Oryctolagus cuniculus: one gene and its partner. The protein of the gene in region 2 interacts with the protein of the main gene of each other region in a pairwise test. Links are inferred from orthologs where the notes say so. Each region holds a gene or a part of one and is shown on either strand. Other genes may lie near its edges.

The links.
Region 1: the proteins of VPS33B (region 2) and VIPAS39 interact in binary tests that used the Homo sapiens proteins (3 or more experiments, as listed by UniProt). The link is inferred for Oryctolagus cuniculus from reciprocal best matches to the Homo sapiens genes VPS33B and VIPAS39.

Annotation. Positions count from the first base shown.
Region 1 is NC_091451.1:23,202,627-23,206,434, forward strand, and holds part of VIPAS39 (spermatogenesis-defective protein 39 homolog), read right to left. Parts: intron 3,400-3,808; coding exon 3,253-3,399; intron 1,244-3,252; coding exon 1,205-1,243; intron 845-1,204; coding exon 780-844; intron 83-779; coding exon 26-82; intron 1-25.
Region 2 is NC_091443.1:100,277,236-100,281,043, reverse strand, and holds part of VPS33B (vacuolar protein sorting-associated protein 33B), read right to left. Parts: intron 3,535-3,808; coding exon 3,440-3,534; intron 3,173-3,439; coding exon 3,068-3,172; intron 2,608-3,067; coding exon 2,511-2,607; intron 2,297-2,510; coding exon 2,219-2,296; intron 2,064-2,218; coding exon 1,990-2,063; intron 1,811-1,989; coding exon 1,724-1,810; intron 1,593-1,723; coding exon 1,502-1,592; intron 1,309-1,501; coding exon 1,234-1,308; intron 1,019-1,233; coding exon 954-1,018; intron 852-953; coding exon 797-851; intron 46-796; coding exon 1-45. UniProt on the Homo sapiens protein: May play a role in vesicle-mediated protein trafficking to lysosomal compartments and in membrane docking/fusion reactions of late endosomes/lysosomes.

The DNA of each region.
Region 1 (3,808 bases), on a different chromosome or scaffold from region 2:
AGAGTTCTCTCTCCAGTGGTCTTACCTTTCCTTTCCGGAGGCGTCGCACTGTATCACTAGGGCTCCAGTCATTGCTGTAATCCTGAAATACGAGCAACACATGAATCTCAGCAAGTTAACAGTGCACCAGCTCCTCCCCTCAGAGGCGTGGTCTTGGGCCCCATGGGAGATGCACTTAGTGAGAGGGGAAGAGAAATGAAGAACTGGGATGCTCCTGTTTTGAGTTACCGAAGGGACTATACCAGGGGCAACACAGGCAGGAGACAGATCAAAGAGGGATGAATCAATCGACAAAACCAGTGACCCTATACCTACTGGTTTAAGATTCTAACCTCTAGACATACTGAGAGTCACATTGTGACACCCTAATAACTAAAGCCTTTGGCCAACAGAAGACAGAAGTGTGAGACATGTTCCTTTTCTGATTTTAGAATATAGTTCCTTATGAGTTAATTTGTTTTTTAAATGTTTCATGGGAATTTGAGCTCCACCAATCTTTCAGATTGTAGTGACGATCACTGAGTTGCAAATTACAGGCTTCAAAAGGTAGCATCATGGATAAGAAGAGTATACTAGGATTGAATTACAAAACAGTTTCTGAGTTCAAGTTCTACTCTCCCAAGCGAAAGACCACAGGCAACCCTTCACATTTGGAAACCTGGTTTTCTTACCCATAAAAGAGGATAGCTGCTCAAAGAGTTAGGAAGATCAAGCAAGGCAACATATGTCAAGACACGTTTGTCTTGTAAAGCGTCATACTAGCCCAAGATACAACTCACCCGGTACTCTCCTTTGGGTCTTCCCAGCTCTGGAGCATAGCTTTTTGCAGGTGTGTCCGACAGAGCTGGAAAACAACACACAGCTGCTTCCGAGGGCCACCGTGAGTCCTGTTCCCTGTCGTTCCTTTTCCCTGGAGATCCCCTCTAACTTACTTCATTTTTTTAACTTGCGGTCTCCTAAGATATCTTTAGGGTCAAATACAGATTTCAGTTCTTCCCCAAAGATGGCATCCCTAGAAGTAATTCCTTGCCCCTGTAGCCAGAATGATCTCTAACTCTTCACTTAGCACAAGAAGTTTTCTTTACTAATGATGGTGGATTCAGAAGATGGTTCATCTAGTCATCTATCCTCACGCCTCTCTAGGCTGTACCCCAGACCTATAACATTAACCACAGCAACTGAGAGAAGAGTTTTCAATGCTTACCATCAGAAAGGGACTGGAAACTTCCAGGTCTAGTTCTACCTAAAGGTAAAGAACATAAGGCAGAGGTGAACAGTCGCCAGAGCCATCAGCACTTGGTTAAGGACACAGTGTTTACAGAATTTTACTATGCAATAATAGAACTTAAGGCTTAAATAAGCTTTTATTCAATTTCAGAAATATGAAATGCCATTAAAAATACTTTTAAAGATTTATGTATTTAGGAGACGGTGCGGTGGCGCACTACGTTAACCCTCCACCTGTGGCTCCCGCATCCCATATGGGCGCCGGGTTCTAGTCCTGGTTGCTCCTCTTCCAGTCCAGCTCTCTGCTGTGGCCCGGGAAGGCAGTGGAGGATGGCCCAGGTGCTTGGGCCCCTGCACCCGCATGGGAGACCAGGAAGAAGCACCTGGCTCCTGGCTTCGGATTGGCATAGCACCGGCCGTAGCAGCCATTTGGGGGAGTGAACCAACAGAAGGAAGACCTTTCTCTGTCTCTCTGACTATCTGTAACTCTACCTGTCAAATAAATAAATAAAACTCTTTTAAAAAAAGATTTATGCATTTATTTAAAAGGTAAAATGACACAGAGATCTTTTATCCAATGATTCACTCCCCAAATGCCCACAACAGCCAGGGCTGGGCCAGGCCAAAGCCAGGAACTCCACCCAGTCTTGCATACAGGTAGCAGGGACCCAGGTACCCAGGTCATCATCTGCTGCCTCCCAGGACACATGCCAGTAAGAAGCTGGATTGCAAGTAGAGGCAGCACCTGATCATAGGTACTCCAACGTGGAATGTGGGCATCCCAAACAGCAGCTTAATCTACTGCGCCACAACAACCACTCTACAGAGAAAAAAAATTTTTTTTAATTTATTTGACAGGTAGATCTATAGACAGTGAGCGAGACAGAGAGAAAGGTCTTCCTTCCGTTGGTTCACCCCCCAAATGGCCACCACGGCCAGTACTGCGCCGATCTGAAGCCAGGAGCCAGGTGCTTCTCCTGGTCTCCCATGCAGGTGCAGGGCCCAAGCACTTGGGCCATCCTCCACTGCCTTCCTGGGCCACAGCAGAGAGCCGGACTGGGAGAGGAGCAGCTGGGACTAGAACCAGTGCCCATATGGGATGCCAGCACCACAGGCGGAGAATTAACTGAGTGAGCTATGGTGCCGGCCCCAAGAGAAAAATTTTTAATTGTCCTGGCCATTGAGGCCATTTGGGGAGTGAACCAGGGAACAGAAGATATCTGTCCTTCCCTCACCACCCACCCCTCACTCTTTCAAATAAAGATTTGAAACAAAGCAAAAAAAAAAAAGGGTCACTGTTTTCAATTCTTTCTGGTATACACCTAGAAGCGAAACTGTTGGAGCATATGGTAAGTCCAAGTTTAATTTCTGTGAACACATGCTATCCTATCTTCCAGAGTGGCTAAACCATTTCGTAATCTCACCAGCAATGCATAAGGGTTCCCAACAACAATGTACAGGAGTAAGGAGGAACTCTGATCCAGGCAATTTCTCTAATACCTGACAAAAGCTTAATGTCAGTTATATTCATCATGTTCTAGAAATCCTGTCCAATTTTCCTGAATTTCTCTCAGTACTTCCATTCCTAATACCTGGCTGCCAGCTCTAACGATAATTCTTTATCCTCCAGTGGCCTTTTTCTTCCAGAGTAAATGAGCATTTTTCTTTAAAAAGGAAAAAGTGGGGGAGGGGTGGTGCTGTGGCACAGCAGGTTAAAGCTGTTAAAGGTTTGAGTCGTGACTGCTCCACTTCCAATCCCGCTCTGTGCTCATGCGCCTGGGAAAGCAGAAGATGGCCCAAATCCCTGGGCCCCTGCGACCCACATGAGAGACCTGGAAGAGACTGCCAACTCTGGCCAGGTGGAGCAGTCATTGCAGCCATTTGGGGAGTGAAACAGTAGATGGGAAATCTTTCTCTGTCTCTCCTTCTCTCTCTGTCTCTGTAACTCTTTCAAATAAATAAATCTTAAAAAAAAAAAAAAAGGAAAAGAGGACTTTCTTTTTCTTTTAACCAATTACTCTTTACCTCTAAAAAAGCTACTCAAGGAGTAGGTAGAAGCAGGTTTGGGCAGCTGTGCACAGGAGGAGAAGCTGTTTCGGCTCTTTAGCTGTTCACGCCCCTCATGGGTAGACCCACTATTACCAGCAGTCTCTCTGATGGACCATGAGATACCTGCGAGATAGTAAGAACTAAATCAGTAATCCTCATCTCAAACAAATCTGTGACAGCCAACACTCAATGCATTCTGAAAGCTTTTCTCCAGAGGCCCCAATGCTTTGGCCAACATGGGCAGAGAGAAAAGAATCAAATATGCTAATCAACAGAAAAAGAGGCAGAGACGTGAGTAAATGGATCACAGGAAAGGAAATTCAAATGGCTTTAGACATGAACAGATGCTCAATCTTACTCTCAGCAACAGTATCACAAATTCAAAGTACAACGAGATACCATTAGTCTCCTGTAATACGGACAAAGATCCAAAAGCTTCATAATACACTCATCATCAAGCCTGTGAGAACTCAGAAACTTCCTACATTGCTGGTGGGAGTACTACCTCTGTGGAAGGCAACTGGCTAATATC
Region 2 (3,808 bases):
GCAGATACTGTGTTTTCAGAGACCGGTAATCCTTGGGGATCAAACCTAAGGGCGAGGACAGAGAGACAGGTGTATAAAGAGGAGGCCACCTGGGCGGGGGCCCTGAAATGCGCAGCGCAGAGAATCCCGCACCTGACCCCTCGGTCAGCAGGCGGCCGAGGAAGGCACGCTGGAGCTCCTGCAAACCATGCGGAAGAAGGGACCTCTCACGCGTTTCCTGCTGGCTAAAGAGCAGTTCTACTGGAAACTGCTTTGCAGCTGCGGCCACACAGGAAGTGTTAGATGAGTTCCCACGCGTGCGTTTTCCTCCGCAGAGGTGGGAACTGGGCTTCCGACTACAACAAAGGAAACTTAAGCGAACGACGCACTCCCTGGGAGGAACGCAGGCTCTAAGGAGAGTCACCCGCTGGAAGCTGGAGCAGTAAACCAGCCGCCACGGCAGGCTGCCAAGTCTGTCGTTAGGAAGCGAGCTGCCGTGGCTCTAGGAAGCCCTTGATCATGAAAGCTTGTTGAAGGCGGGCCGTGGACGGGGTGAGGGGGACATGGCACTCAGCTGACACCTCGCATCCTGGGGTGGCCTCTACATGCTCCTGCTTAGGGTGGGGCAAGAAATCACCCTATGGCCCCGTGAGGGTTCACCCAAAACAAAAGCTGCTTAACTTTACAGGAAGAAGAGTCCCGAAATGACGGGGCAACATTCTGTTTGCTGAGATACTTGTCTTTGGAAATTACGTCCTCCGTCCCCAAGGCACAGGGTCTCAACCTGGCACCGTCAGCTCCGGTCTTTGGGGCTCACCGTTCTCGGTGATGGACAAGAGGCACATGAGGCGCAGGCTTTCTATAGGTGACACCTGCGGAGGAAGAACAGTCCAGAACTGAGGTTTCAAAACACACACCCCTCTGTCCCTTCTGCTGCAGGCCGCCGCTCCCCGCCCCCCGCCCCGGCCGCTCACCTGCCGGTCTATGTGTTCTTCGATGTAGCTGGTGCCCTCCCGGATGTTGAACCCCTCCAGCAGTGCTGGGAATCGTCAGAGGAGAGCCTGATGTCATCGTGCTAACACGCACCTCTCTCCCCACCTTTCCCCAACCCTGGGGTGGGCCCAGGGGCCCCACGACTTCTGGCATCAGCCAGCACTGCACAGAGCCAGTGTTGGCAGGAAAGGGCCAGACAGGGTCCTGTTGGGGTGGGGAGCCGAGGGGCTGGGGCCTGAGCCAGCAGGCTGCTGCAGGTACCGTGCTCCGTCTTGATCAGCTCCTGGAAGTCCTGCTTGGTTTTCTTCTTCATGATCGACTCACAGGCCCCAATGTCTGCGGGTAAGACCGAAAGGGAGCTGACTGTCCCTGGTTCTAGACAGAAGCCCACAAGAATAAGACCTCCCGCATCAGACCCGATGCCACCGCCACTCGCCAGATGAGCGAGAAGGGTCCCCCACAGCCGAAGGGGCGGGAAGAAGCTGCAGGGTCGCTTCCCCAGAGGCCCCCAGCCCCAGCGGGAACCTACGGAGACTCAGCAGGCGGTGCTCCTGCTTCAGCCCCTTGAGCTCGCGGGACACGAAATTCTTCATCTGCTTAATGTCCATCCCGCGCCGGCGCTGTGGGAGACGCCCCTAGGGTCAACTCCTGGGACCCCAGGCATGAGAAACCACCCGCCCTCTGCTGCCGCCCACTCTGAGACACGCTGGCCCAGGGTCAGAAGGGGAGCCACTGAGGCTTGGAGCCTCACATCATACTGGGCCTGCAGGTTCCGGGCCTTCTGGCTCAGGAAGCCAAAGACATTGGAGAAGTGCTCGTTACGGATCTCACTGAACACCTGTGCGGGGAACAAGACAGGTGCGCTTACGAGGTCAGAACCATAACCTGCTCCTTCCCACCTCATCAGCATGGCGACGATGGCACAGGCCAGACGTGCAGGATCAACAGGTCCACGTCCAGGGCCTACTCTGTGCCCAGGGGACGCTCGCCTTCCCAGAGCCGGGGCCCAGTCCGCACCTTGTCCTCAGCATTGAGCAACACCTTCAGGCTCTTGTCCGAGGATGTGACTTCAGGGCCAAAGTCGACACTCCCTTTGAGGACGGAGGGAAGGGCATCGGGGTCACCAACAAGGCCTTCTCCTACCCTGGCAGAATGCCAGCAAAGATCTCCCCAAGGACTAGGAAGCAGCCGTGCCCTCAGTCCCCCGACAAGCCCTACCCAGCGTGCACCTTGCCACGGCACTCACCACATTTGATGCGGAAGGTGTCGTCCACCAGGCCCTCGTAAACCACTTGGGAGCAAAGCGCCGTGACAAAGTCCACGTCTGAAACCAACATCCTGACCGTGAAGGCACAGGCTGGCTGGCCTTCCACCCGGCTTGCTCTAGATCAGCTCAGCTACTTTCCAAAGGACCCGAGCCACATTCCTCATCAACACTGGGATTCACAGCCCTGACTTCAGGATCCTAACTTTGCACCACGAGGCCCATGTTCCCGAGCCTTCCAGGGAAAGATGAGAGGAGTGCTGGCCCAATTTACCTCTGTCCAGCAGAAATATATGCCCAATTTCTGGCCTTCGGCCCTTGGTTTCACCATCTTCTTCCTCTTCCAGTTGCCTCCATAATTCATAGGACATCTGCCAGGGCCCAAGACATTCTCAATCTTGTGTGCTGGTCCCGGCTGCAGCCCCACACCTACAGAAGCCAACCGCTCCCATATCGATACTTCTCACCCCTGGGAGGGGAGGCAACTGTGAGCAATACGAACCTGTTCTACCCACCCCAAACCAGTGAGGGAGGAAGAAGCCAACATCAGGTACCGACATACTTCCAGCCCACTGGGCCCCACGTGTGTCCCCATCCCTTGACACCAGGATTCAAAGGCCCTGTCCCCACGAAAAGGAGACTTGGGAATGTTGCACAGGAGGCCCTGGCCCTTTCTGCTGGCTACAGAGCGCTCCTCCCTGAGCGACTCTTCTGGAACAACTGAAGGGAAGTGAAGAATGAGCACCCTATCCCAGCTGCCCCTGGGTGATCACAGGCCGATTCAGAGCAGGGGGACAGGCTACTGGGCAACAGTGCGGCTGGCGCTCTTACCTTGGCACACCGGCCAATGCCATAGCAGTTGGGAAAGGGCCCATAGAGGGTGCTGAGAAGATGCAAAGCCTGAGCCACGGTGTTGATCCAGCGCTGGTCTCCTTCCTGCAGGGATGGGGATCAACCTGAGGTGCCTAAGCTGGAGAGGCGGCAGCCCCAGACACCTGGAAGGGAACTGCAGAATGTGGGGAAACCCGGCCCGGCCCACTGTGGCCCCGAAGGGGCTCATGGAGATGAACCTGTAGTCTTCAGTCCCCAAACCACTATCATTTGTGACCGTGTGTTGCACAGAGGTTAATTAGTATTTCTAGCCCACTGGACCCCCCGTTTGTCCCTAACCCTTGATACCAAGATACACAGACCCTCATTTACCAGGAAGTAGTCCCTGAAAAATTCTGGCAGCTCCATGCTCAGCAGATCCACATCAAGAGGCAGCAAAGAGAAGGCCCATTCATCACAGCTCACATCTGTGGGGACAAAGCATCAGCCGCCCCGCGGGAGGCTGTGAGCTCCCCATCAAGAGGCAAGGAGTGCCAGGATCAGGCAACAGACACGCGAGCGCCTGCCACCGCCGGCGCCGCATCTGCCACGGGAGACTCAAGGAAGGGCAGAACACAGTCCCTGCGCACAGTCTGGTGATGAAAGCAGGCACGCACACAGCAGCCTGTGACGCAATGTAGCGCGTGCTGTGCGTGGTGCTGCAGTGCTGGCCAACGGCTGACAATCTAACAGGCCACCTAA